Linked DNA regions of Xenopus tropicalis. The protein of the gene in region 3 interacts with the protein of the main gene of each other region in a pairwise test. Links are inferred from orthologs where the notes say so. Each region holds a gene or a part of one and is shown on either strand. Other genes may lie near its edges. The genes, in order: arnt2, sec22a, dtx2, stx12, alkbh4, eif4enif1 and abhd16a.

Region 1 (3,500 bases), on a different chromosome or scaffold from region 3:
TCTGTCCTGAGCATTCCAAAATATTGTATTATTTTAGATATAATGTAGAATGAGTGTAGACTAACCAAAAGATTCTGCTGTTTTTTGGGAGATCCTTAATACAGGCCTAGGTAGGCAGGGTTTGGATGCACGGGTGGTGAATAATTCCCCTGTAATTTCCCTAAGATTAGGAATTAGGACAAAATCATACTACATTACAAAAGGCAACTTTTATGCATCTTCCAGGACCTTCTTGGAAAAGATATCATTGAATTTTGTCATCCAGAAGACCAGAGCCACCTCCGTGAAAGTTTCCAACAGGTACTATTTCTTCTGCCAGAAAAAAATGTGTGACATTAAGGGTTGTACTTGGCCAGGTTACCTCAGTGTTTCCCAATTTAAAATTTCTTGTCAAAAACATATGCTACCACACTTCAAAGATATCTTTAGTTCAATACAATCCCACTGCTCGTGGTGGAGTATACCATATAATGACCACATAAGAAAAAGAACCCTTTTCAATGTGCTTAGATATTTTTTGAACTTTTCTTGGTAGCTGCACCACATTTACCGGTTTGTAGTTGTATTGTGCCCCCTTAAGACTTTGCTTCTAACACAAACAAACTCACCATATCCTATCTCTACATACACTAAACTATATCTCCTTTTTTACATGTTTATGGCCTCATTTTAAGCTTTTTATAAACTGGTAACCCATTTGCATTCTAATTTGATTTGAAAGGGCATATTCCTATAATTTCCCTTTTAAAGGGTGTGCGTAACCAAGGGCAGTTAATTAGCCAGTTCTAAGCAATATGTTTAGGGTTCTGCAAATGCAAGTGAACTGTTGCAGTTGCAAGGTGGCATTGTACTGTCAAAATGAATGCAATTGTTATTGCAATTCATTGCGAATCATACAGAATTGTGCCAGGGTCCGGTTGGTACCATTTTGGGGGTTCGCTGTGTGACTGACTTGTGTGCCATATTCTTTAGCCACACGTTTGCTGTGCCCTTCAATGCAGGGTGTTCAGGGAGCCCTGGAGCTACCACTTAGTCTGGAGGTGGCAGTAACCCCACAGTTCCTCTGCGTCGATAAGTGCAACTGTGCTTGTTCGGAATGGAAGGCAGAAAGGACTGAGCATTTTGGTGCAAGTGCCTTTAATAAATGGGGTTTTACGTGCAGGACTGCAACTGTGACTGCACTTGCAGTCATAAATGACTCTCTTTTTCCATTTATGAGCTTACATAATGGTAAGTTGTTAACTTTGGGAAAAAAAATTCTGTTTATAACATTTGGCCATTAATATCCTTTTTCCTTGACTCCTTCACATTACACTTTTTACTGTCCTGTTACAGAGGCTTTGCTATAGGCCATACATATATATTATTAGAAAAAGCACTTTGTTCCATACTGGCTCTTGCTTTTGATGGTATAGTCAGCAAAAGTTTCTCTCTGTAATCTCTTTTTTCATTTCTTGTTAATGCATTGTGATTTATTATATTTGATATAATTGTACAGTGCTGCATAACTTGCAGGTACTATATACATACACTATAATGATACTGTATGTATTTCTAAACACTTCTCTTACTAATACTTCTGTGTTTTCTGGTTATCAGGTGGTTAAATTAAAAGGCCAGGTATTATCAGTGATGTACCGATTCCACACTAAGACTCGGGACTGGATGCTCCTTCGTACCAGCAGTTTCACTTTCCAGAACCCATATTCGGATGAGATTGAGTATATTATTTGTACCAACACTAATGTCAAGTAAGCAAGCAAAAAGTATCACCTAGGCAGTTTTATGCATATTCACCTAAGAATCTTTCACATGGTCTTTACTGGGTTTTTGAATTATTGGGGCTCCTTTTCTGCCTATTTTCAGCCTGCAAATGAGAATGCTATTGTTTCAGTCACTGACCCCAGCAACCAGAATAATGTTATTCCTATTTATATTTTTAATTTCTTGCCCTTTTTTCTGGTCCTCTCCTATTGATCTTCCATTCTGACTTCTAAACTACTACTTGATTACCAAGGTAACTGAGCCCTAGCAACCATACAGCAGCTGAATTTCAAGGCCTAGTAGTTGCAGAACCATACATCTTTCAAAACCATAAAAAATGACTAATTCCAAATTGTTTTAGAATACTGCTGTTTACATCATATTAAAAATCAGTTTAAGTTGAACTGCTTTTTTTTTTAATATTGGTCCAAAGCTTGAGATTCACTTCCAAAACAAATAGCAGTTGATCCTTTTTCAGGTCATCACTGATAGGAAAGCATGATTTGTAAATACAAGTATTCCTACCTGAACGAATCATTACAGGGCTTTCTGGGTGCAGATACTTTTATTTCAGTCTTTATTCATATAGTATATGATTATTTGGTTATATAAGAGCACAGATGCTACACTCAGGGAGGGCTTGCTCTTTATGCCTTCAGTGACACATGATCCTATGCCCTACAGTATTTCTGCAGCTGTTTCTGTGTTCCTAGGCAGGTTCAACAGCAGCAGGCTGAACTCGAAGTTCATCCAAGGGATAGTTTATCCTCCTATGACTTGTCGCAGGTGGGTATTGCAGGAGTATTCTACCCAACGTGGCATCTTGCTGTGTGTTGTTGCAGCTTATGTTCTTGTGTCTAACATCTGACTTTCTTGACAGGTGCCTGTTCCTAACCTTGCAGCAAATGTGCACGAAGGTGGAAAATCTGTTGTTGATAAGCCAGATCCAATCTTCTCCCAGGATCGTGATCCTCGTTTTGCTGAGATGTTTGCTGGAATAACTGCCTGTAATTTTAATGTTATTATGTTCCATCACATTAACATCTCAGGCTCTTTATAGGCAAAGCACCTTTATTCATATCCCAGTCCCCCTTGTTGCCTTGGTGTATTTCATGGGGTATCTGGGTTCACCATTACCAAGCCCTTAATTAGCTTGGTTCTACTTCCAACTAATGCATTAAAATTCCAAAATGGAATTACGTGTTCTCTGATATCTACAGAGTTCAGATCAGGACAGGTCAGAGCAGTGAGCTGAGTTAATGAACCCCAGGGAGCCTCGGTATGTGTTTTCAATAACGCTTTAGGTATGTTTGTAAATGGAGCAAACGGTGGGGTCAAATGCAGATTCTTCCACTAAAAGGAATTTTATTCTAACAAATGAAAAGTATTTTCTAGTCTGCCTGTCGCCACAAGGGTATAGTTATTGGGGGTAAAAAGTGCCTGCATGTCATATATTAGACAGGACGTCTTCTGCGGCTCCAGTGTTGTAATCTAAGCAGAGAATTTTTTTTTCTGTACCTTTTGAACTTAGAGAATGTGGATTATTGTCCTAGGCTATAGCAAACTGAAATGTAAAGCATCATTAGGGGGGGCAGGGGAATTCTTCTCTACACACTAGTCAGACATGTAACTGCAATAGTGGCTTATTGTTTACTGTGGTATAGCCTGATGGCACTTCCAGTTCCCTTACCACAGCAAATTCTGGCCACTTTACTAGATACCCTCTCTGTTTCTAA
Region 2 (4,201 bases), on a different chromosome or scaffold from region 3:
GAGCTGCAACTCCCTGCAACCTCGGGTTTCCAATGGCGAGCTGGGAGCTGTACAACCGGTGGGTACCCATGCCCACCCTATAGTAGGTCTGCTATAAATACCCACTCACCTGAGCTCCAGCCCTGCACAGTTGGCACAGATGCCATTACACGGGCAGAGACAGCAGATCATAGCTTTAGTTACCCTTTAATCATACTAATGAATTAAAGGGTAACTAAAGGCAACATGAATAAGCAGAGCTCTTGATCCTCAGGCTAGCAATCAGCTGGCAGGGTCTCACACAATCCCCCCCCACACATGAAGGAATTGTACAGATCACTACAAACCTGAGGCCCAAGTTTGTTTCTGTTGTACTGAGTGACCCCAGGCAGCCCCCCCCCCACGCGGGCACCTACCTCCTTTTTGGTCTGCCCCAGAGTCTTTGCCTCGGCTGGGGTGCAAACACACAGAGCAGATTCCAGCCCGAAATGAGTGAACAGGCATTATTGGGCAAGAATCTGCCCCGTGTATCTGCCCCCAGGTGCAGGCAGGGACCCTAGGCAACCCAGCTTGTTGCTCACACATGGGGGGCAGAACTGTTGGGGGGTGATACAGTTGGAGGAAAGGGCCCGGAACTAGGGGTAGGTAAAATAAGAGGTGCCCTGCCCACCGCCCCCCCACTGTTACACCCTAGGCAGGTTTTGCCCGTTCCTAGTGCCGACCCTGAGGAGGGGACAGGGAAGCCTGGCATTTAGTTGCCTGTGGCTCTTCCTTTCTTTGCCTCACAGTAAATATCACTGCCAGTTGTGTCTGAAATCTTTCTGGGTTCCCTGAACCTCTCACTTCCCACTTCTGGATCAGACCCTATATACCTCTCATGCACATAAACAGCCCCAGCCCGATACCCCTACACATACACTTACCCCTACCAACATACTACATCTATGGCAACTGTGCAAGTATGTGAAGCTCAGTGGGGGCGTCTATGTGTATGTATGGGGGGGGGATATAGGCTCAGCAATAGGCACTTGTTGAGGGGATATAGGCCCAGGGATAGGCGCGTGTGGGGGGGATAGAGGCCCAGGGATAGGCGCGTATGGGGGGGGGGATATAGGCCCAGGGATAGGCGCGTGTGGGGGGGATAGAGGCCCAGGGATAGGCGCGTGGGGGGGATAGAGGCCCAGGGATAGGCGGGGCGGTATGGCCGGGGGCGGTGGGGGATAGAGGCCCAGGGATAGGCGCGTATGGGGGGATAGAGGCCCAGGGATAGGCGCGTATGGGGGGGATAGAGGCCCAGGGATAGGCGCTGTATGGGGGGATATAGCCCAGGGATAGGCGCGTATGGGGGGGGATAGAGGCCCAGGGATAGGCGCGTATGGGGGGATAGAGGCCCAGGGATAGGCGCGTATGGGGGGGATAGAGGCCCAGGGATAGGCGCGTATGGGGGGGATAGGGCCCAGGGATAGGCGCGTATGGGGGGGATAGAGCCAGGGATAGGCGCGTATGGGGGGGATAGAGGCCTCAGGATAGGCGCGTATGGGGGGATAGAGGCCCAGGGATAGGCGCGTATGGGGGGGGATAGAGGCCCAGGGATAGGCGCGTATGGGGGGGATAGAGGCCCCAGGGATAGGCGCGTATGGGGGGGATTAGAGCCCAGGGATAGGCGCGTATGGGGGGGATAGAGGCCCAGGGATAGGCGCGTATGGGGGGATAGAGGCCCAGGGATAGGCGCGTATGGGGGGATAGAGGCCCAGGGATAGGCGCGTATGGGGGGGATAGAGGCCCAGGGATAGGCGCGTATGGGGGGATATAGGCCCAGGGATAGGCGCGTATGGGGGGGATAGAGGCCCAGGGATAGGCGCGTATGGGGGGATAAGCCCAGGGATAGGCGCGTATTGGGGGGGATAGAGGCCCAGGGATAGGCGCGTTGGGGGGGATAAGGCCAGGATAGGCGCGTATGGGGGGATAGAGGCCCAGGGATAGGCGCGTATGGGGGGGGATAGAGCCTCAGGATAGGGCGGGGGGATAGAGGCCCAGGGATAGGCGCGTATGGGGGGATAGAGGCCCAGGATAGGCGCGTATGGGGGGGATAGAGGCCCAGGGATAGGCGCGTATGGGGGGATAGAGGCCCAGGGATAGGCGCGTATGAGGGGGGATAGAGGCCCAGGGATAGGCGCGTATGCGGGGGGATAGAGGCCCAGGGATAGGCGCGTATGGGGGGGATAGAGGCCCAGGGATAGGCGCGTATGGGGGGGATAGAGGCCCAGGGATAGGCGCGTATGGGGGGATAGAGGCCCAGGGATAGGCGCGTATGGGGGGATAGAGGCCCAGGGATAGGCGCGTATGGGGGGGATAGAGGCCCAGGGATAGGCGCGTATGGGGGGGATAGAGGCCCAGGGATAGGCGCGTATGGGGGGGATAGAGGCCCAGGGATAGGCGCGTATGGGGGGGATAGAGGCCCAGGGATAGGCGCGTAGTGGGGGGGATAGAGGCCCAGGGATAGGCGCGTTATGGGGGGGATAGAGGCCCAGGATAGGCGCGTATGGGGGGATAGAGGCCCAGGGATAGGCGCGTATGGGGGGGATAGAGGCCCAGGGATAGGCGCGTATGGGGGGGATAGAGGGATATGTCTGTGGGGGTCTATACAGATCCTATAGTGATATCTGTACCCCCACATGCACACAGAAATACATTCCTATACACACCCCCCTATATACACTCATCTACTTACCTACCTCCGCTCCGTTCTTCGCTTCCCGAGGCCCCGGCCTCTCAGGTCGGACCCCCGGGCTCACAGCAGCTTCAGTCCCACAGGCCCGGCTCCGCCTACGTGACGTGTCCTTCGCGCTGCATCCTGGAACCTCAGTGCGGGCAGCCATGCTTCTCGGGGTGCCATGGTAACGGAGGCGGGGTCTGCAGGTAGCTAGCGGGAACGCCCAGTCTAACGCTGACCCTTGCTAGCCCCGCCCCTCCCGTACCTGCCCAATGGCTGCCCCGCCTACACGTCACATGACCGCTACTAATTTCCTTTGTCTCTCCCTGTGACAGGGCTTTGAGCCTCCGGCTATGGCTTGGCCTGACCAACTGCATGGCGGTATCTTTCTCCTCAGGCCGGGGCCAACAGTCTCCTACAGGCAGCTGCAATGGTTTCTCATAATTGTCTGACATTTCTGCCCCATATTGTGTGAGTTTTGCTGACTGGAAACAGGATTTAGGAGCTGCAGTACCAGATACTGTCACTAGGGAGCGCACCTTTATAAGCCATAGCAACTGCCTGTAAAGGGTGGAACTGCCTGATTTATTGTACTTACCTCTCCTCATAGAACCCACCTCCCTTTATGTTTTTATTGTGCCCTTATCCAAATTGTTTCTTACTTTCTGTAACTTTATTTCCATTAACATTTTTCTCTGTGTATTACATCCTTTTCATCCACTGCACCTATTATACATGGAATTGGCACTGTATTTATCTGCTGTGGGTTCTGGGGTATTATACATGGAATTGGCACTGTATTTATCCTGCTGTGGGTTCTGGGGTATTATACATGGAAATTGCCACTGTATTTATCTGCTGTGGGTTCTGGGGTATTATACATGGAATTGGCACTGTATTTATCTGCTGTGGGTTCTGGGGTATTATACATGAGAATTGGCACTGTATTTATCCTGCTGTGGGTTTCTGGGGTATTATACATGGAATTGGCACTGTATTTATCTGCTGTGGGTTCTGGGGTATTATACATTGGAATTGGCACTGTATTTATCTGCTGTGGGTTCTGGGGTATTATACATGGAATTGGCACTGTATTTATCGCTGTGGGTTCTGGGGTATTATACATGGAATTGGCACTGGTATTTATCTGCTGTGGTTCTGGGGTATTTATACATGGGAATTGGCACTGTATTATTCCGCTGTGGGTTCTGGGGTATTATACATGGAATTGGCACTGTATTTATCCCGCCTGTGGGTTCTGGGGTATTAACATGGAATTGGCACTGTATTTATCTGCTGTGGTCGGGGTTACATGATGGCCGTATTATTCCTGTGGGTGGATTATACATGGAATTGGCACTGTATTTATCCCGCTGTGGGTTCTGGGGGTATTATACATCGGAATTGGCACTGTATTTATCCCGCTGTGGGTTCTGGGGTATTATAACATGGAATTGGCACTGTATTTATCCTGCTGTGGGTTCTGGGGTATTATACATGGAATTGGCA
Region 3 (3,500 bases):
TTCTTTTGTGGAGGATGAAATCCTGGTTGAATTAACATGGTTGAAAAGGTTAAAAATCTACACTTGCCTTAGACCAGTTCAGAAGAAAATTATTTGATTTGGCATTGTAATCAAAGGGTACCTGTTAACCAATATAGATCAACAAGATTTGGATAATACAGAATGCATTTCTTCATACTTTATTTGTTTATATTGTTCCTTTGGTGAGGAAAATTGTGTTCCTGTCATTATCTATGTTTGAGGTACTAGCTATAAAAGGGTGATGGCACACTAGATTAGTCATCTGTGGTAAATCGGAGCCACGGAAGGCAACTAATCTCCTGAAAAGGCTTTTCCAACACTAATAATCCCAGGTGGGGAAACATATGCATCTCTTATGATTTTATGATTCCCCACATGCAATTTACATTATAGCAGGTAGGAAGGAAACTAGGGTTGTTTTTTTGCCTGCTGTATAACAGATTTATGGTGGGCATTGCGGCATATTGTGGCACTGCACTAAAGACCCATGGCAAACAGGGCATATTTTCCCCTAATGTACAATGCAAAAGCAGGGAAAAAGCTTTTCAGTCTAAACAACTCTTTTTGGGATAACCTCTTTACACCATTACATCATATGTATAAAGTTGGCATATAAATGTCTGAAATTTCCATTTTATTTGATTTGTTTTTAACAAGTGGAGCAACATCTAGGAATATCTCCAAACATTTTTGCAATCATACCAAAATGATCTCACACAAGTGAGAAAGCGCTAAATGTGCCATTGCCCTAAAGGGAAATGTCTGATATAGGCACTTCAGAATTATTCTTTTAAAATATTCTTTTAAAACAAAGCTTATTTGTTTGGCAAATAATAAAACTGATACTTGGGGCTATGGCAGACTTTTTCAATTATATAATATACCATAAAATACACCATGAAATATCCTTTTCTCCTGGTATTACTACTGGAAAAAAAGATTGGCCTCTTACCTGTATCTTGCCTAAACTGTGAAAGGGTTGGAATATCAATAATGTATGGTGCCAGTTTAGGATCAGCTTTTCCAAGAGATATGCTGTTGCTGTTTCCATAGGCTCGGAAACCTTTCTGCTGTGAATATGACACCATATATTGTTCAATATAGTTGCTCACTGCACTGCTGTATGGTCGCCATTTGTTATGCTCATCTTGCCATTCCCAAACAGCAACAGAGGCATTCCACTGATTAGACACCGTAGGAAGTCCTGAGAAACTAGGAACCCCACCACCTGGTGGAGGAGCAGCTGCCATCTGAAAGGAATGAGCGTATTATCCAAAAAATATTTTTTTACTGTTCTTGGTTTTCAGAACTAATTTCTTTGGGTTGCAACTCCTTTTTCGTTCACCATTGTACAAACCTAAAAAAGATAAAAAAAAAAAAAAAAAACATAATTATGGATAAGTAGCACAAAAATAGGATTCATTTTTAAACTAACTGGGAAATAAACAATGTATTAGTTGCTGCGACATCTCACCAATAAAACTCTAGATACAAACAATATAAAACATGAAGAGAGTTTTTCAATTTTTATAGAAACAAATGGTTAGTGATCTATACCATGTGTGCATTATATATTACAGAAAACAGTCTTCCTTTATAATATGCCTCAGATATCTGTGAGCTGGAAGAGATGTTTATTAAATATTTAATAGGTTAATAGGCAAATCCTATTAATCTATCCACTGTAGCAGTATATTGTAAATGTATCCACCCAAAACACTTGGTTTGCTCTAATAACAGACAAGGTAATGAGCAGGCTTGCAAAAGGATTGGTATTTTGCTGACCAGTACAAGTCTGCTTGCCACCACTGTTATTAAAGGAGAACTAAGCCCTACCCTATTTCTAGCCACCCCTCCACCCCCTCCCCACAAGAGATATTCTGTTTTAAGTCTTCTTATAATGGAATTAATTAGCTGATGTGTTTAGATGGGTCAAATCTTTGTTTCAAAGTCAAATTCAGGAGAAAACACCCATGTGTAAGAGCCACTATAACAACAGCTTTCATGTAATAAAGTATGTAATGCAATCGTGAAGGTTTGAAACACCCATTAACCCTACTTATGATTTAGGTAGTGATGTATGAAGTGTGTTAGGCAAAAGATTAAAAACTCCTGTTCAGGTGGAAGGATGAGAGACTTTAACAGATGAGCATTTCTTTACATGGTTGTTTGTGGTGGTTCTTTCATGCATTCCACCACGAGGATTGGCATGAAGAAACGCAGCCTGTTCTTTTCAATGCCGTAGGGCAGCAACTTCCCTGCAGCAGAGTAAGTATAAACTTTCTGAAAATAACAGAATGCATTAACTCCTGCATTCCCCTGCCATGGAATGCATGAAAAATCCACATTATTGAAACGCAAGAAAAACTGTCTGTAAAAGCCCTAATGGGATAGAGAGGGACACCTCCTTTCTCTAGTTTCTGACTTAGTATATCAAGCCTATCTGAGGAATTATACTGTCTTTATGAAAACCTCCCCCAAGGAAATTCTAGACACAAGAGGTCACTAACCCCAAGAGGAAAATAACAGGCCTATATATTATTCTAATAAAAACTGAAGCTTACTAACTCAGCGGAAGTAAATACAAAAAAAAAAAGACACTTCACAGCTGTGGGCTACATATGGGGAACTATTTTTTTTAAATGAAGACATAGTACAGACAAACTGAACTAAAGACATAGTACAGAAAAACTGGACACATTATCCTTTGCAGGAAATAAAGGTTTTAAATTAAAATACATCACTCTCTTACTTGCCAAGCGTGTTAACCTTCAACAAAAGCTAACACTCCCTGCCAATTCTCCCCAGGCAAACCGTGTTCCATTTTCCTCCCAATAATTTGCAAACTCATTTTCACTTTAAGCTAGCCAGGTCTCTTCAATAGAATCAGAATGAAAACAGAAACTCAATAAAGGTAAAAATCCCCTCAGTTCAGTAATAAACACTAATGTACATGTTGCATCATTCAAAATGATGTAGGCACATTCCTCAAACACTTTATATTTCGATAACAAAAAAAACACCTTTAGCTATTTCACAAAAGGCTGGCCAATAAACTAACTCCCAGCATATGATTACATTACTAGGTGCTCAAACCCACACCTCAAATGCACAAAACAATGAGAAAAATATCTGAAGTGGTGAAATGTATAAAAATACATCACTCAACCACACTGTATTAATAAGCCCATATGCATTTGTTTGTGTTCAAAATGGTAACTGCGACATTACATTTTTATGGGTAATGGCACACAGAGCATGCAAGCATATTCCGACTGAACGAGTGGATGACAAAATACTTTGAATCACAACTCTCCCATTAACTTCTAAGGTAATAATCTGCCCCTATTCACGAGTGCATTCACGAGTCATGTGATTATCACTCACAAATGCACTAGTTGGTGTTTTCAAGTGTTAAACGCCTGACCCACAAGCACATCTGTGAGTGCAGGCAATTACTGTGAAAAACACTGCTTGTA
Region 4 (4,057 bases), about 11 Mb from region 3:
AGATTATTTTTTTCCTTTTAACAAATTTAAAAAAGGTACTGAGATCAGTATCATGGGAAGACTTCTTATCCGGAAAACCCCAGGTCTGAAGTCTTCCAGATAACTGATCCCAAACCTGTACAGGTATGGGATCTGTTATCAGGAAACCCCTTATCCAGGAAGTTCCGACTCCCACTGACTCCATTATAAGCCTATAATTCTAATATTTTTTTTAAATGTCCTTTTTCTCTGTAATAACAGAACAGTTACTTGAACTTGATTCCAACTAAGATAAAATTAATCCTTATTGGTAGCAAAACAAGCTTATTGAGGTTAATTTTTAAATAATCTTTTAGTAGACTTAAGCTATGGAGATCCAAATTACAGAAAGATCCCTTATCCATAAAATCTCAGGTCCCTAGCATTCTGGATAATAGGTCGCATACCTGTACCTGTGTTTTTTTTTTTTTTTAATAGAAATTTATATTTATTATTGATATTCCTTTTCTAGGCCATCTCTAATGAGTTACAACTAAAATATTGCACCTTCTTTATTTACCTGTACCAGACTTCAACTTCTTTTTTAGAAATGGCTGCTGTTTTGAAGATGTTGGGCTTTGGGTGTGGTACTGACCCGACAAGGCTGGAAGTACTGTTTAAATCAACCTTGACTAGACAAGTGCCACAGGTAAGTAAAGGGGGTAGGGGGATGCCAGGCTTCAGTGTTAAAGCTTTAGGTTATGGAAGGAACCTTTTTCACCAACAAATTCCTGTGAAAACCTGTAAAGTCTCTGTATAAATTATATTTGCTGAACATGCCCAATAAAACATTACCTATCTGAAAAAGACTATGTAACTTCAACCTGTACCGCACTTCATGACAACAGTGCACCTTATATCAGTATGACACAACAACACACCTTGACAGCATACCGAGAAGCTGAAAACACAGTTATCAGATCTCAGCAGTGTGCTGTTATCAGTGCAGAATAACTGGGCCATTCCAAAACATACAATAACAGTCATTTGTAGGACAGCAGCAATTTTCCTGTAAACACTGCACTGTGCTAGTCTATAATTACAAAAAGAAAAACAGCAGCATAGTGAACAATGAACAAAAAATCTCATTACATGAATTACGTCCTTGCTATATCCACTTTTAATTAGAGGCTCTCACATGGAGTGCACATTTACCACTTCTCATTAAAAATACTGAATATAATTAAGATACTATCATCTCAAAAAAACCTTTTTAAAAAAAAATACCATGTCAGTCCAAGCCTGCTTGAATCACAGTACAATGAATGTTCTGTTATAAAGATAACTAGATTCTCAGCTATAAAGCAAGACAGGACTGACTGCTGCCTTCTTAGACTAAGGACATTAATCATGTGATTTCACTTTCAAATGGAAGCGGAAACATAGGATTTTTAACAAGTAAAAATGTAAGGTATTTTCCCCCCAAATTCCTTTACTTTACTAAACCTAACATGACCAACAGGCAAAGTGTAATTTTGTTAAAGATGCCCCTTTAAGATGGTTAAGGAATGGGTATGTTTGGATAGTAAATGTCTTATGTCTAGTCCAAATAGAGGGAGTGACAAATTGCTCTTATGACGTATTTACTACTATTCCATGGCATCCTTTAATTAAGAGCTGAACACTTGTTTAAGAATGAAACTACACATAGACTTGAAGAACAGAGGCCAGTAGTACCAAGACTCCATATTTATTTATTTACTTACTTCTGGGGGTATGTAATGATTGGCAGAAGTCAATACTGTGAATCTAATACATAATGATATACAAGAAAATACATATTTCCTGCCAAGTCTCATTCATTCAACATGATAAATCACACATTATGAACTCCTATCCTGCTGTCATGCTGGGAGGAAGGAAATATTACAATTTCATGGCCCCTGCCTGACCTGGTGAATCCTGCTTGTGCCCACGCCCAAAATTTTCTCTGAGCTTGCAAAGCAGTGATCAGGCAGTTAGGGGGGAACAAAAAACCCCCATGGAGTAAGGCAGGAATGTAACCCACTCAACACAAATTCAGTAAGCGAGGGTAAAACTGCTCAGCCTGATTTCACTGGTTGCTGAACTACATTTCTACAAATGCTGCCTTTAGGATAATATTGTAATGTGTAGTTTAACCACAGCAAGAGCCCAACCAGGTGACAAGCCTAACAGTAGTAACTTCTTGGTAACAGTAACCCAATCAGGAATCTCCAGTAGGAAATGACTTCCCACTGCACTTAGCTCCCTTCCTGCCTGTCACCCCTGCTTCTCTGTGCCCCTCTGCCAATGAACATGCCAGCTGATAGCTGCTGTACTGTACACCCACCCACCAACCAACACAAGGAAACATTAGTTGATTTTTGTCATTTGCCAACTGTCCAGTCTCCATATATGCAATGCTATATAAATAATTTTCTCTATTTCCAGCTGTGTCAGTATAGCCGCCCTTCCTGTACATCAGTGGGTGTGTAGCACCTGGGAATTACACATAATACAAGGGGCCCATATAACATGTTAATCTCTGTTGTCCAAAAGTTCCCATTGCCAATGGCTAACAATTCGTCCTTCAAATCTCCACCAGTACCCCCATCTATATACTGCGGGTGTGTGCAGCTCGCTGCGATCACGGATATATATACAGGAATAGGACCGGTGCTCTGTAGAAAAACTGGGGATACTGACTGTTATTTGTGATCCTCTGCACATTGCCGCTGCAGGTCTGAATAATGCTGTTGAAGTCCCGGGCACGGCTCTGCTGCTTCATGTACCCAGACATGTTGCTCCTCTTAGGGCCCCGTCCTCCTTTCTGAGTATAAGAGATGGTGGGATGAAGCGACTCTAAGGAAGTCGTGATGTCATAGCCATGTGACCGTGATGTCACGTAGGAATTGTCAGGCTCCTATCAGCGATAAGCGCCTCCCAGTCATGATACCACGTGACAGCTTGGAAAAGATGCTGTTGTTGCCACTCCTTTAAAGAGAACAAGGAATGCAAATGTAGAATTCTGCTGGTTTATAAAAATCAGCAAGTGCGCCTTTGGAGGATGGGGTACTTAATATCCCAGGTCCTGGAGCAATTGCTGGGTCTAATTATTTTTTTTTCCCTACACCCCTAGTACTTGGATTTAATGGAGGGAGATGAGAAATATGCTGGGTGCACATGGGGGACAAGTATTGTGATCTTTAGTAAAATGTTGTTTACCTGTACAACAGGTAAGCAGTTGAAGCATAGTGTGTGATATGTATGTTCAAGGCTGCTGTTAAAGGGCAAGGTGATATATACAGGAATTATATATGAGTGATGTGTAGGCTGGGACTGGCAATCTATGGGTTCTGGCAAATGCCAGAGGAGCTGCTGTAAGATGTTATAGACAGTTAATATTTATTGGGCTGGTAGAGGGCTGTTTGGACCTCTTGTGTACTTGAAATGCCAGGGCCTATTTTGACTCCCAGTCTGGACATGGCGATGTGTAATATCTGTTGGACTTCTTGGGAACTCTGAATGCTGAGGGAGGGCAGTTTGGTAAGTCCATCAGTGCCAGTGGATAGCAGCGTTTTATGTATGGATGTTTCTGGGGGTTGCTAGATAAGAACTGTGATTGGTTATTTGGTAGCCCCTATGAGGACTGGCAGCATACAGGAGGCTCTGTTTGGCAGTACACCTGGTTTTTATGCAACTAAAAATTGCCTTCAAGCCAAAAATTAAAAAACAAGCACCTGCTTTAAGACCCCCTGGAGAGACATCTAGGGTTAGCGAGCACTATGTTGCTCACAAGCCACTGGTTAGGGATTACTGTTCTTACAGAGGCAAGTGATGAGTATTGTGCCACGCAAAAATCTTTGCGTCACTGCATTTTGAATCATCTTTAAGAAAGTATTGTGTGTGTGGGAGGTAGAAATACGGTAGTTTGAATTAGCAGAGGTGCGCCAGGAATTTTTAAAAAAAGACCCCTTAACTGCTCTCCTCTTTCCCATCCCATTATCATCCTCTCTTTCAGAGCCACCGTCAGGGGGAGAGGGGTACTGTTGTGCAGTGCTCGGTGAAATAATCTTCT
Region 5 (4,199 bases), about 48 Mb from region 3:
AACGTCCAGTATGTGCAAAATATTTTACCTGCTTCCTTCGTCCAGACTGCGAAAGCCGCCACTCTTCTTGATCCATAAAATTTACCAAGTGTTGTTCCTCATCCTCCGTCACAAAGTCTTGTATCAGATACACACCTGGGAAATGAAACCAGCAGCCATCAAGTCCCTTTGCTATGCCTTCTAATGGACTGTATATGAAAGGTAATTTCTGCAGAATAAACAAAATATGTTAAGAGGTAACAATAACTCAGTGGTTAATTTTGCCTTAATATCCATTTGTTTCCCATGAATAAAATATGAAGGTGTATATTACATGGTCATACAGCTGATGCAGCAAATATGGCAATATCTACTCATACATATCAACAGAAGACCAAACAGAAACAAACTATCAGAAAGTTATATGCCCACAGCAAGCCTTGTATGCTGCTTAAATAGCATAAAGTACATTAAATATAAACTCTAAAGCATATGGCAGTGATGCCAGTGATCATTTGCCTGTGTCTGTATGACCTGCTATATTTACCAAGGAGCTCAGCATTTCCCCAGTAATCAATAAGAACAGTATCTGCCAGAATCTATAGAAGTGCTATCCATGGCTGATTTGGAGACCAATGGAATATGTTTTTTTTTATGAATGCAAGGTCTCCCATAACATTTGCTTGGAAAAGTGACGTATATCAGAAAAATCTCAGGTGACAAAAGTAGCAGTAACAATAAGTGCCTTGACTGTTAAGATCTGCAATATAATTGAATTATTTGGAATAATAATGAAGACTGGTTGTAGACTGCACACATTTCCAGTGTATGTTTGCCTATGTGTAGGGTATACAAACAATAGACAGTAAATGCAGTTATCAACAAAGAACAAAGAAGTAAAATGCTAGTCCCAAAATAGTGTGAAAATCACAACAGGGGGTGAAAAATGATATATTCTATTCAAAAGAACCAATGAGCCAGACTTCATGGAGCCAAACTGGTCAGAGACTACACATGAATATATTTGTTACCCAAATCATTCATTTGTAAACCACAGTACAAAGCTTTCTATGCATATTCAACCACACCCAGGAAGTACCCAGGTGCATAGTTTCCTAAGCTACCCATAAATGTGCAACAGGAAGGGCAAGAAAAATTAAATTTCTCCATAGTATGATGGCTGATTGCACCCGTAACAAAATGACCCTCCAGTACCATTTGCTGTACTGTGGATTTGGTGCTATTCTAACAAACAATTTCTGATACATTACTATGGGAAGCAGTGACCAATGAAGTGGGCATTTTCTCTCTCATGGCAGTAGTACTAAAGCCTGACATAAGCCTAATATTCTTTGGGGGAGACAGTGGGTCTGGGATAGCCGATGTGCTACTGCAACATGATGACAAAGCACTTTAAGGCACTTGTGACTTTGCACTGGATAGAAAATGTAACCCAACGTGCAAATTACAGGGCACAAGGGACCAATGTACTTAAACTACTCCTCCCTTGGTGCTCTTCCCTTATGCATCCTTGCAGCACTGGGGCCATGAGATCTATTTTATGTGCAAGGTAAAGGTGTTTAAGGGACTCCTAGGTTCAAATAATTATCCTCCAGTATATTGTGCATCAGGGCCCAGGCAGCAGTGCATTCTGGACAAGAAGCAATTAATTTCAATAATTTCCCCTGCAGGGGCCGGATGTGAATTCTAGGTGGGTAAGATGCAGAAAACATGGTGCTTTGCTCCTGCTTTGTCGTCGGTATGTATTTCAGGGGCAGTAAGCTTTATTTTGCCCTGATCATAGTGATAACAAAGGCAACCCTGATACCACCTACCACAGAGAATCAAGAAACCAAACATGTATATTGCACTAGGAAGACATCTCCAGATGCTTTTTCTCTGTGCTTTATTATAATGAGATCATTTAAAGTTCTATTGTATAGGAGGGGGTGGGAATCCATGACTAGCTCTGCATTTACTCTGCATTGTTGTTTCAGTAACACCATGTTTTTGAATAGATGTGCATACAGAATCTACATTTTAATTAAAGCACATTTGCAAAGTACATATTGTATACTAACTGGAGTGATTGGTTTAATTAAACTGGTTTAATGAAAAAGTAAAACTAAATTTCAGTTTAACATTATTTTCATCCATGAACTGTACCACATGACTATCTACACAAGTGCCACACTGATATACTCTCAGCACTTGAATTGTTTGCCCTCACCTGCCCAAGGGGATGCAATTGTGTTTTGATAAATGCAGTGTGGCTATTTCTTGTGTTGCACTACCTTTATAACAAATTACCACAACTGAATTGTTTAAACTTTGCAGGATTAACCCAAAGCTGGCCCAGTGGAGCTGACCTGCTGGTTCTCACTTCTGAAACAATGTAGCCATGGCAGCTGATTAACAAACCTGACTTCTGCTACAATGTTTCAAGAGTCACAGCCAGAGTACAGAAAGGGATAAACACATTGCATTTGTATCACAAATTAACTCCACCATTTTTAAAGCATACATATTGCTAAGATGCAATTCACTGTCCTATATAAGCCAATATCTAATTAAGACAACTGACGGCGAACTTGCTGCTGCCTTGTTACTATTCCCACCAACCAATAGCCAGAGGCGTCTCATCGCAAAGCAAGCAGGTCGGACAACGTGGTCACATCCCCAGTTGCTAAGTACCTTATGAAGCCCCTTAGGTGCCCCCGTTGCCCCACGCTCACACAATAAACAGGACCGGATCCCTTTACACCCACAGCCCTTCCAGGCATCGCAAACAACCTCGGCCATAGGCGACTAAACACACTAAAACACAGCAATTGCATCTATTAGCAACTTCCGGGTAATAGTACCAACCCCGGAAGTGATGTCATGCTAGCGGGAGATAGAAGTTCGAAGGAAAAAGTAGCCGCTGCATGAGAGTTCCCCGGGAGTGGAAGCCAGCAGGAAGTAAGTGTCCCGCTATTTAGCGCTGTATTACTTGCCTATTCGGCATTATAGGCTTCACTTTGCAATATGTGGTGGGGCTATTTAAAGGGCAATGCTCTTTTCTGGGTACATTCTAGTAGCAAAAGGATTGGTCGCTTAAACACATAAAAGCTAATTGTATGTATATCTTGTATATCTTTATTTATAAAGCGCTACTTATGTACGCAGCGCTGTACAGTAGAATACATTAATATAAACGGGATTATTAAGATAATAATAGATAAATACAAAGTACAACAATAAATACAGATAGATACAAGATAAATACAGTTGCAATAAGTTAAGAGTCAAAGACACAAGAGGATGGAGGTCCCTGCCCCGTAGAGCTTACAATCTATATGGGAGGGTAACTAACAGACACAAATAGGCAAATATAAGTGCTGTAGGTCACAATGGGTGACACTACAATATAGGTGCTAGTTCCCAGATCAGGTGCTGGGTGAGTGCTCCAAAAGGTAGTCTTTAAGTTTAGTTTTAAAAATATATATTTATCTGGCATTTACAGCCATTGATTTTTTCCTCCGTGTCTAGAAGTGACTATCATATCAATACTGTATGGGCATAAACAGTCATAGGCATCACAGGCACAGAAGTGTCTCTCACTTCTAGGAAAAGTGTTATTTTTGATGTTTTGCTTTGGTGGGGAAGGATACATCCTTGCAACTGTGGCTTTGATATTAGGGCAGGTCATTATGCAGAGGACTTATCTGCTGACTGGTAATCTGTTTTACTAGTTGTTTTATTTTTTGTTCTGTGCAAGAAATAAAAATCATAGATATTCCTTAATTAAAGGAGACCAAAAGGTATAAACACTGGGCTAGGTGCTAAAATGTTTGCCCCCCCCCCATCCCCGTTGATAATAATCACCTGATACCTGGGACCAGTGCTCATGTTGGGTAAAAGCAGCATTGGTCCAGGGTATTTTTGTAGAAGTTTATGGTTACCATCTTGTTTGGCTTCTTCCTTCTTTTTTTCCATTTTAGTCTAGGCAGGTGCATGCGCAGTAGAGTAAAAAATCAAAGATTGACACAAAAAGCTGGCCTTTTTACTCTAATACACATGCACTTACCCATCATATTCTTTTTAATCTTTACAAAGATATTAACACCTGAGAAGAGAAGACAAGTACATAGGTGTATGAAGAAGCAACAGTAATTCAAAATGAGCAAAATTACTGCTGACGTCCTGCTGAAGGAAGGGCTTCCTAAATCCATTCATCT
Region 6 (3,500 bases), on a different chromosome or scaffold from region 3:
CCTTGGGCTGGTACAGAAGCCCAAAACAATGTGCAACATTTCTGCCCTACTTCTTTAGTTAAGCTTTAATTCTCGTTTAAGTTTGCATGTTTTCATTAAGACCCATGTTCCTTTATCCTACCTGGGCATGGCCTGTTCTGAGTTGTGCACTTGCCTCATACAATAACATGAAGTCTTAAAGACACTAATTTGTAATAGTTTAACTCCCAATACCAATGTCTGTGCAATCTGGAGATTGTTGACATTGTTGTAACACAGAACAGATTGCCATTAGTCTACCTGTTGTTCCTGTCACAATAAAACACCTGAATTACTTTTCTTATGTTCAAAAAGTTATTTGTATCTATAAGTGCACTTAATGCTTTAAAGGAACAGTACTACCAGAAAATGAAAACATTTGAATTATAATATAATGTACTGCTGCCCTTCACTGGTAAAAGTTGTATGTTTGCTTCAGAAACACTACTATAGTTTATATAAATAAGCTGCTGTTTAGCTATGGGGGCAAATGCACAAATGGGAATCTGCTCATCCAATATGTTATTTGCTATGTAACCTGTGACTTTTCTCCTTTTTTCATTTTAAGTGCTACCTCCATGACTACACAGCCACTTTGTTTATATAAACTACAGCAGAGTTTCACACAACTTTTACTAGTGCAGGGCAATAGCACATAAATTACAGGTATGGGATCCCTTATCCGAAAACCTGTAATCCAAAAAGTTATGGAAATTTGGAATATGGAAAAGTTATGCAACTTATGGAAAGGCCATCTCCCATATACTTCATTATAAGCAAATAATTCTAAATTTTAAAAAAGGATTTCCTTTTTCTCTGTAATAATAAAACAGTACCTTGTACTTGATCTTAAGATTCAATTGAAAATTCCAGATTGAACCTAAACTAACTCCTGTAACCACTGTTGTCAGATTCCAAAAACTCAATGGTGAAGGCATGACAACACAGTAGGGGTAAAGGGGAAAAGAAAAAAGGCTCAATATACTTTATTGCATGAACTCTCACCTTCTCATGTGTAATGGCCAAACAAGATATGCGGTAAAAACACCAACCCACTGCAATTTAAGTCAGATTCCACTTGCCTTCCTTTCCTGTCCGCTTTCTTGTCCTCTTGCGGCCCTTGTGATCCTCTTCCAGGATTTTATCATCAAAGCCAGTAAGCTCAATTGTCTCCGACTGGCTAGTGGGACCCCCAGAGAACCACTCTGGTTCCTCCTCTGTACAAGAGTCATTTCTACGTCTCTCACCAAATACACGTTTACTGTCTCCATGCTCTCGCTATGGCAGAGAAGACAGAGGGGGGGGGGGGGGGAGGAAAAAAAATAAAAACATTTAGAGAAGCTAAAAACAACAAGTTAACAAGTCTGGCACATATCAAGCCTTAATTTCAGTTTAATAAACTAAATGGATTTAAAATATGAATCACTGCATTTGCCCTCCTCCTAAAGGTCATTAAGGATATGACCAAACCTTCAGGTCTGCCAACCTTGTCAACATTGGTTAGTAAAATGAAGTTGCACCTTTAGTTTTAGACTTCAAAAATGTATAGTTGGATGGCATAATGGTTACAGATTAAAAGGACAAGTCAACCAAGAATATAATTTGCCTAATAAAAGAAAAAACATTCCAAGAAACTTTGTACTTATATATATATATATATATATATCTGGCATTTGAAACAATGTCACACACACACACAAGGCAGCAGATTGACAGAACTGACTAGGAGGAGCCTGACCTATGCAACATTGTGTAAAAAGTAACCAGGAGTTCAGCAAATGCTGCTTTCAATAGCAATTACATTTACAAATAACTTTTAAAAGCACAGAAAATTTTTAATAAAATCATTGTAAAGTTGCTTAGAATTATATTCTTTTATTAGGCAAAAAATTATATTCTTGGTTGACATGTCCTTTAAAGCATTTTGCACAAACACTGATCCACAGAATGACAACTACAAAATATTTTATAAATGCTTTTCTAACATTTCCGACAATATGCTTTTTGAGGGTGGTTTTAACAAAAAGGCTTGTGGGAAAACCATAGGCACAAGTTTTAATACACGGTTTACAGGACATTTAGTACAGGTGCTCGATATAGATATATATTTGGGGGAAGACCTAATATACCAAAGTCCTCACTTAAATCTGAAATATGTTACAAGGCACATAAAGGCCATGTCAGAGTCTGAAGTTGGAGCTTTGCAAATCCCAGGTAACTGTATTAGAATAACACTGTCATCAAACCAAAAGGGTAATTTTAAGGTACACCACCACTCTTTAATGTGACATCACTCTTCCAGACCTCTTATGGGTTGTTAATCTATGTTGTGAGAGATGCAATGGACAACGATTATTTGTATTTCCACCAGTGTTAAAGGCGGGGTACAAGTAGCACCAGGTAAAAGGCCTGGTTTTGCAACAGGTAATACTGTGTTTAAGTTACTAGCTTAGAAAAAGCAAAATTAATAGGTCCCTGGAGTGAATGGAGGGAGAGCAGGAAAGACCTTCCATTCCAAACTCCAGTTAACGTTTTCATTTGGCCAGCTGTAGTGTAGCTGCCCGATTAGGCTGCAGGTGAGCAGCAAATAAAATGGCTGTGTGATTACACAGGGGGGTTGAGCAGGAGTGGGGCACAGGGCAGGAAGGCTGCCTGCCTGCGTAAGGAACTCCCAGAGGAGCTGGGGATGCCTCCTGCCACTGCGAGGAGCAGAGGAAGTCGTGACCAGATGGATGAGAGCTGGGAGGAGTCAGCAAGGCTTAAGGTGAAGCCTGAGCGTTCATGAGCGAGAGTTGCTGTGGATGTGTGAAAGTCACTGGGGACAGTGAGAAACCCCGTAAAGGTTCCAAAGTGTGGAAGTAACCTTGGAAGGTGAGAGCCCTGAAGAAGGGACAAATCATAACCCTGAACTGTTTTAGTTAGTTCTGTCTGTTTATTTAGGGCCAATTCTTCCCAACATCAACATGTGTTTTGCCTGAAGTTGCACCCCTTATGCTCCAAATCCTCTGCATGCCTGCCTACCATTGCTAATTCCCCAAAAATTATGTGTACAGGCAGTCAGCATGTCACATAGTATCATTTGTTTTAGAACAGGACTCAAGGTAAGGATATATAAAATAAAGGAAGTTTCCTTCTCTTAATTTCTTGATAAAGTCAACAGAACAGAGCACTAACTGGACAATGATTTTGTAAGAAACATTTATAGTCCTCGCAAACATCCAGTATTAAATCTAGCTGCCCTCCAGCACTTTTCAGCATACAACTAAAAATGATTGACTGCTATTTGGAGGAATTTTAGCTATCTTTATTAACAAATCAGTTTAATACACCTCATGTTAAAGTTACTTTAGATCAGGATGTAACATCAGCATTCCGTGATGCAAGGTTTACACACAAATCTTAAGACAGAAAACTTACCCTGAAGCGTTTGTCTTTGTATTCTTTTTCTCTGTCTCGCCCCTCTCTGGGTTCTCTATCGCCTC
Region 7 (3,500 bases), on a different chromosome or scaffold from region 3:
AGCACAGTAACAGAATTTATCCAAAGCGCATATTAAGGGCCCCCTAATATGATTTTTATGTCTACAGCAAAGATCTTAAAAGCACAGGCCCACTTGGGGGAGTTCCTTTACTCAAGCCAGATCCTCGTCCACGTGGGACTACAGACAATGTGTTACAGAGGATTCAAAAATTACCATGTCAGATTACCAGGTAACAGCTTTGCCATTCTTCTAATTAATATGGCACAAAGGAAATCAAATTCTACTATAAAAAGTGTGTGTATGTATATATTTATATAATATATAGTACACAGGGAGGAGCACACCCTATACAAGTCCAAATGCCCTTGGTGCAGGTCAAAAACAAATATATAATAGAAACCAGAGTGGTTTGTCCCTGAGGAAGAGCACTGGTTGTGCTTGAAACGTTGGAATTTTTTCAATAAAAACACTTTTTTCTTTTGTATCAAGTCCCTGTGTGTGAGCGATTTCTTTCTATTTAGATATACATACATATATCTATACATAAGTATTCAGCCAAACACGGAGTGATTTATTAGTTAAGTATATAACAGCTGACAGGGTTCATGTGCCTCCATCCTTTTATATTTTGGTTCTGTACAAATGGAATTACCAAGGAGGGTTTGTAAATAGTTTTTTATATTGGTATAATTCAGGACTGAGATAATAGAGGCCACTCTTTTTTTATTCTGGATTGACCCTTGATACATGCATGTGCACATACAAAGCCAGGCCAACTTATGACCTGTTTAGGTAGTTTAGACACTTGTTTGATGTAACCAGTATTAATCAGCTAAAAACCAGAATGATGTCATAGGGAGACAAAACATTGTCTTATAATGAATTGTTAAGCTATATGTTGGATATAATAACAGTTCTTGGAAACATTAGAAATATTTAGTGACCATATGCAATTTACATCCTTTGAGGAATGCACAGTATAGTATGGAATTCTATGTGCAAATGCTTCTTCTTGTAGTTTTGGTTTCTGCATATGTTTCTTGCTTGATTCAGAGTAGGTAAGTAATCTAATAAATGCAATATTTTAATTATCCCCTTTCCTCTCAGTTATGCAGTAGCTCACTCATTTGGCAGGCGTATGTTGTACCCTGGCTCAGTATACCTATTACAGAAGGCTCTCATGCCCATGTTGTTGCAAGGGCAGGCCCGTCTAGTGGAGGAGGTGAGAGACTACTTTGTATAGCCACTTTCTTTCCATTCCAAATTCTATTTGTGTCATTTTGCCTTTTTACATATGTGCTCCACACAGGTGTGTCTCACATTATCCATGTAACAACCACTACATGGTCATATTTACTCCTTTATCCCTCTTTTTAGTATAATGGAAGGCGAGCCAAGCTGCTGGCATGTGATGGGAATGAGATAGATACAATATTTGTAGACCGCAGGCACTTAGGAGACAACAAAGGAGCTAAGCTGGTAAGAGTTGTTTGTGCTTGCCCAATACCAATGTATATTTCACTTTCTGTTTTAACAATCTCCTACCCAAAAGACTAAGGAGCCCTGGGCATTTTGATAACCAGTTTATATTGATTCCCAGCATTTTTCCCATACTTTTCCTGGGACAAGTAGCCAAAATCAAAACTCCCTTAGTCACACAGTCCTTCTTATGTTTCCAATTTAATATTTGGTTTTTTTATTAAGGTTATATGCTGCGAGGGGAATGCTGGATTCTATGAAATCGGCTGTGTCTCCACACCACTGGAAGGTCAGATTTAAGTTTCTAGTCAAGTATAACATTTACGTTTATTGAATTAGTATGATTTAGATTAAATGCAACTGTTGTTCGTATAATAGGGGAGAGTGTTAGTTCAGAAGATGTTGGCAGAATCATAAACTAATTATTATTGTGCTTGCAAGTACTGGATAGTTCAAATCAGCTCCATCTGACAGAGCAGTCCCTAATACTGCACAAGATTTCTTAAATGTATGCCAGCCTCTCTCCTCCTTATAGCAGGTACTTTTTGCTTACTGATAAGTCTCTTTCTTGTAGGCCTGTAATATTTTCTCCATGTTCAGACATGGTGAGAGGGGTGCAGTGAGCATGGAGGGAGGAGTAAAGATTTTGATTGCTTTGTCCTGACTAAACACACAAGGACTGCTCCTATCTATCTGCACTGTCATCACAGCCTTACAAGAAAAGGATTTGTCTGTAAGTTTACAATCTTACCTTTATTTTGCTATAGCACACATTTAACTGCGTTTGCAGCAATAGTGACTTTCACCGTTGACATTCTTTTCTTTAGTATGTTTGCAAACCTAGCAATCTATGCATTCTCTTCGCAAGCTAATTTTCTTATGTATTTTATTTCTTATGATGAAAGCCATAGCAGAGTACTTACAAATGCTTAAAATAATGAAATATAATTTGTCAGAACTGTATTATATATGCAATTTTCTATATAAATGCTTATATAATGCTTATATATGCTTAACTTGTAATGGCATACTAGCACCAAGATAAAAAAATACTTATTCTAGAGATGCTTGCTCTCTTAAAAGCCGACAGAGAACAATGAAGGGCTGCACTGTTTAACCTAGATAACCACAGCCAACTGCTCAGCACTGGCAAATGCTATCCTACTGTCTGACCTTTTGTTAGTATATTTTAGGAATTTAAAGCTAAATAACCTATAGTATGTTTGTTTGCTTTTTGTATAGTTGATTGGCACAATTTTTAACAGAGAAATTGTTGCTGCAGCATATGAATATGGGCCTGCCTTTTTTGTAATGCTTGGTTTCACTGTTTTGCAGCTGGCTATTCAGTCCTTGGCTGGAATCATCCTGGATTTGCTGGTAGTACAGTAAGTTATGTAATTACTTTGAATCCATACATTTTAAATTGTGAAAAGTAAACAATAACAGGTTGCTAAGTCAGGTTACTTCACTCAAAGGCTCAGCAAGCTAATTCTGGTTATTAGCAAACCAGTTCAGATTATATTAGTTGAATGTTGTGGTGCCCTAGGCATGCCACACTCTTCTACCAAATTGGTGCATGCCTAACACAGTCTATACACAAGTAATTATTGGTTAGGAGTGGGGTTCCCCCACTATCCCTGAGCTCCACTGCCAGCACTGAGCTAAAAAGAATGCTGTTGACCTGGGCCTTCAGGTGCCTGTACAGAACATTCACCCTGATGGTGGATACAGTTTACTGGAATTGTAGCATAGACTGAAAACATGCTTTTGATGAAAAATATGCCTAATGTAGAAGCCTAAAAATATAATGTGAACATTTGGTTATACAGATCATTATACAGATGGGGTTTCATGTGTTCTGCACAAATACATATAGTTCTCAAGGGATTAAAAAAATCATTGTTTTTATAATTATGTTTTATTGGGCGAAAACATTGTTTTTTTGGAGAGTCTGTATTACAGTATTTGGGTGTATAGCATAAAGAGTGGAGGTAATGGAGGTGGTTTGCACCAGTAGATTAGTTGATAGCATAGATGTATGTGTAATCTAGTGATTTATG

What was found.
Region 1: the proteins of dtx2 (region 3) and arnt2 interact in binary tests that used the Homo sapiens proteins (3 or more experiments, as listed by UniProt). The link is inferred for Xenopus tropicalis from reciprocal best matches to the Homo sapiens genes DTX2 and ARNT2.
Region 2: the proteins of dtx2 (region 3) and sec22a interact in binary tests that used the Homo sapiens proteins (3 or more experiments, as listed by UniProt). The two-hybrid records come from large-scale screens. The link is inferred for Xenopus tropicalis from reciprocal best matches to the Homo sapiens genes DTX2 and SEC22A.
Region 4: the proteins of dtx2 (region 3) and stx12 interact in binary tests that used the Homo sapiens proteins (3 or more experiments, as listed by UniProt). The two-hybrid records come from large-scale screens. The link is inferred for Xenopus tropicalis from reciprocal best matches to the Homo sapiens genes DTX2 and STX12.
Region 5: the proteins of dtx2 (region 3) and alkbh4 interact in binary tests that used the Homo sapiens proteins (3 or more experiments, as listed by UniProt). The two-hybrid records come from large-scale screens. The link is inferred for Xenopus tropicalis from reciprocal best matches to the Homo sapiens genes DTX2 and ALKBH4.
Region 6: the proteins of dtx2 (region 3) and eif4enif1 interact in binary tests that used the Homo sapiens proteins (3 or more experiments, as listed by UniProt). The two-hybrid records come from large-scale screens. The link is inferred for Xenopus tropicalis from reciprocal best matches to the Homo sapiens genes DTX2 and EIF4ENIF1.
Region 7: the proteins of dtx2 (region 3) and abhd16a interact in binary tests that used the Homo sapiens proteins (3 or more experiments, as listed by UniProt). The two-hybrid records come from large-scale screens. The link is inferred for Xenopus tropicalis from reciprocal best matches to the Homo sapiens genes DTX2 and ABHD16A.

Annotation. Positions count from the first base shown.
Region 1 is NC_030679.2:108,902,130-108,905,629, reverse strand, and holds part of arnt2 (aryl hydrocarbon receptor nuclear translocator 2), read left to right. Parts: intron 1-225; coding exon 226-300; intron 301-1,599; coding exon 1,600-1,751; intron 1,752-2,477; coding exon 2,478-2,550; intron 2,551-2,644; coding exon 2,645-2,771; intron 2,772-3,500. UniProt on the Homo sapiens protein: Transcription factor that plays a role in the development of the hypothalamo-pituitary axis, postnatal brain growth, and visual and renal function. Specifically recognizes the xenobiotic response element (XRE).
Region 2 is NC_030685.2:88,971,108-88,975,308, reverse strand, and holds the start of sec22a (vesicle-trafficking protein SEC22a), read right to left. Parts: upstream 2,801-4,201; 5' UTR 2,715-2,800; exon of another isoform or gene 2,703-2,714; intron 1-2,702. UniProt on the Homo sapiens protein: May be involved in vesicle transport between the ER and the Golgi complex.
Region 3 is NC_030678.2:94,403,247-94,406,746, reverse strand, and holds part of dtx2 (probable E3 ubiquitin-protein ligase DTX2), read right to left. Parts: intron 1,379-3,500; 5' UTR 1,272-1,378; coding exon 974-1,271; intron 1-973. UniProt on the Homo sapiens protein: Regulator of Notch signaling, a signaling pathway involved in cell-cell communications that regulates a broad spectrum of cell-fate determinations.
Region 4 is NC_030678.2:83,639,054-83,643,110, forward strand, and holds the start of stx12 (syntaxin-12), read right to left. Parts: upstream 2,801-4,057; 5' UTR 2,780-2,800; coding exon 2,686-2,779; intron 1-2,685. UniProt on the Homo sapiens protein: SNARE promoting fusion of transport vesicles with target membranes. Together with SNARE STX6, promotes movement of vesicles from endosomes to the cell membrane, and may therefore function in the endocytic recycling pathway.
Region 5 is NC_030678.2:46,224,180-46,228,378, reverse strand, and holds the start of alkbh4 (alpha-ketoglutarate-dependent dioxygenase alkB homolog 4), read right to left. Parts: upstream 2,801-4,199; 5' UTR 2,782-2,800; coding exon 2,674-2,781; intron 1,692-2,673; exon of another isoform or gene 542-1,691; coding exon of another isoform or gene 527-541; intron 209-526; coding exon 29-208; intron 1-28. Other genes in the region: lrwd1 (leucine-rich repeat and WD repeat-containing protein 1), read left to right, coding at 4,141-4,199. UniProt on the Homo sapiens protein: Dioxygenase that mediates demethylation of actin monomethylated at 'Lys-84' (K84me1), thereby acting as a regulator of actomyosin-processes.
Region 6 is NC_030677.2:152,099,751-152,103,250, forward strand, and holds part of eif4enif1 (eukaryotic translation initiation factor 4E transporter), read right to left. Parts: coding exon 3,436-3,500; intron 1,297-3,435; coding exon 1,101-1,296; intron 1-1,100. UniProt on the Homo sapiens protein: EIF4E-binding protein that regulates translation and stability of mRNAs in processing bodies (P-bodies). Plays a key role in P-bodies to coordinate the storage of translationally inactive mRNAs in the cytoplasm and prevent their degradation.
Region 7 is NC_030684.2:74,883,371-74,886,870, forward strand, and holds part of abhd16a (protein ABHD16A), read left to right. Parts: intron 1-67; coding exon 68-190; intron 191-1,068; coding exon 1,069-1,183; intron 1,184-1,338; coding exon 1,339-1,440; intron 1,441-1,665; coding exon 1,666-1,729; intron 1,730-2,775; coding exon 2,776-2,825; intron 2,826-3,500. UniProt on the Homo sapiens protein: Phosphatidylserine (PS) lipase that mediates the hydrolysis of phosphatidylserine to generate lysophosphatidylserine (LPS). LPS constitutes a class of signaling lipids that regulates immunological and neurological processes.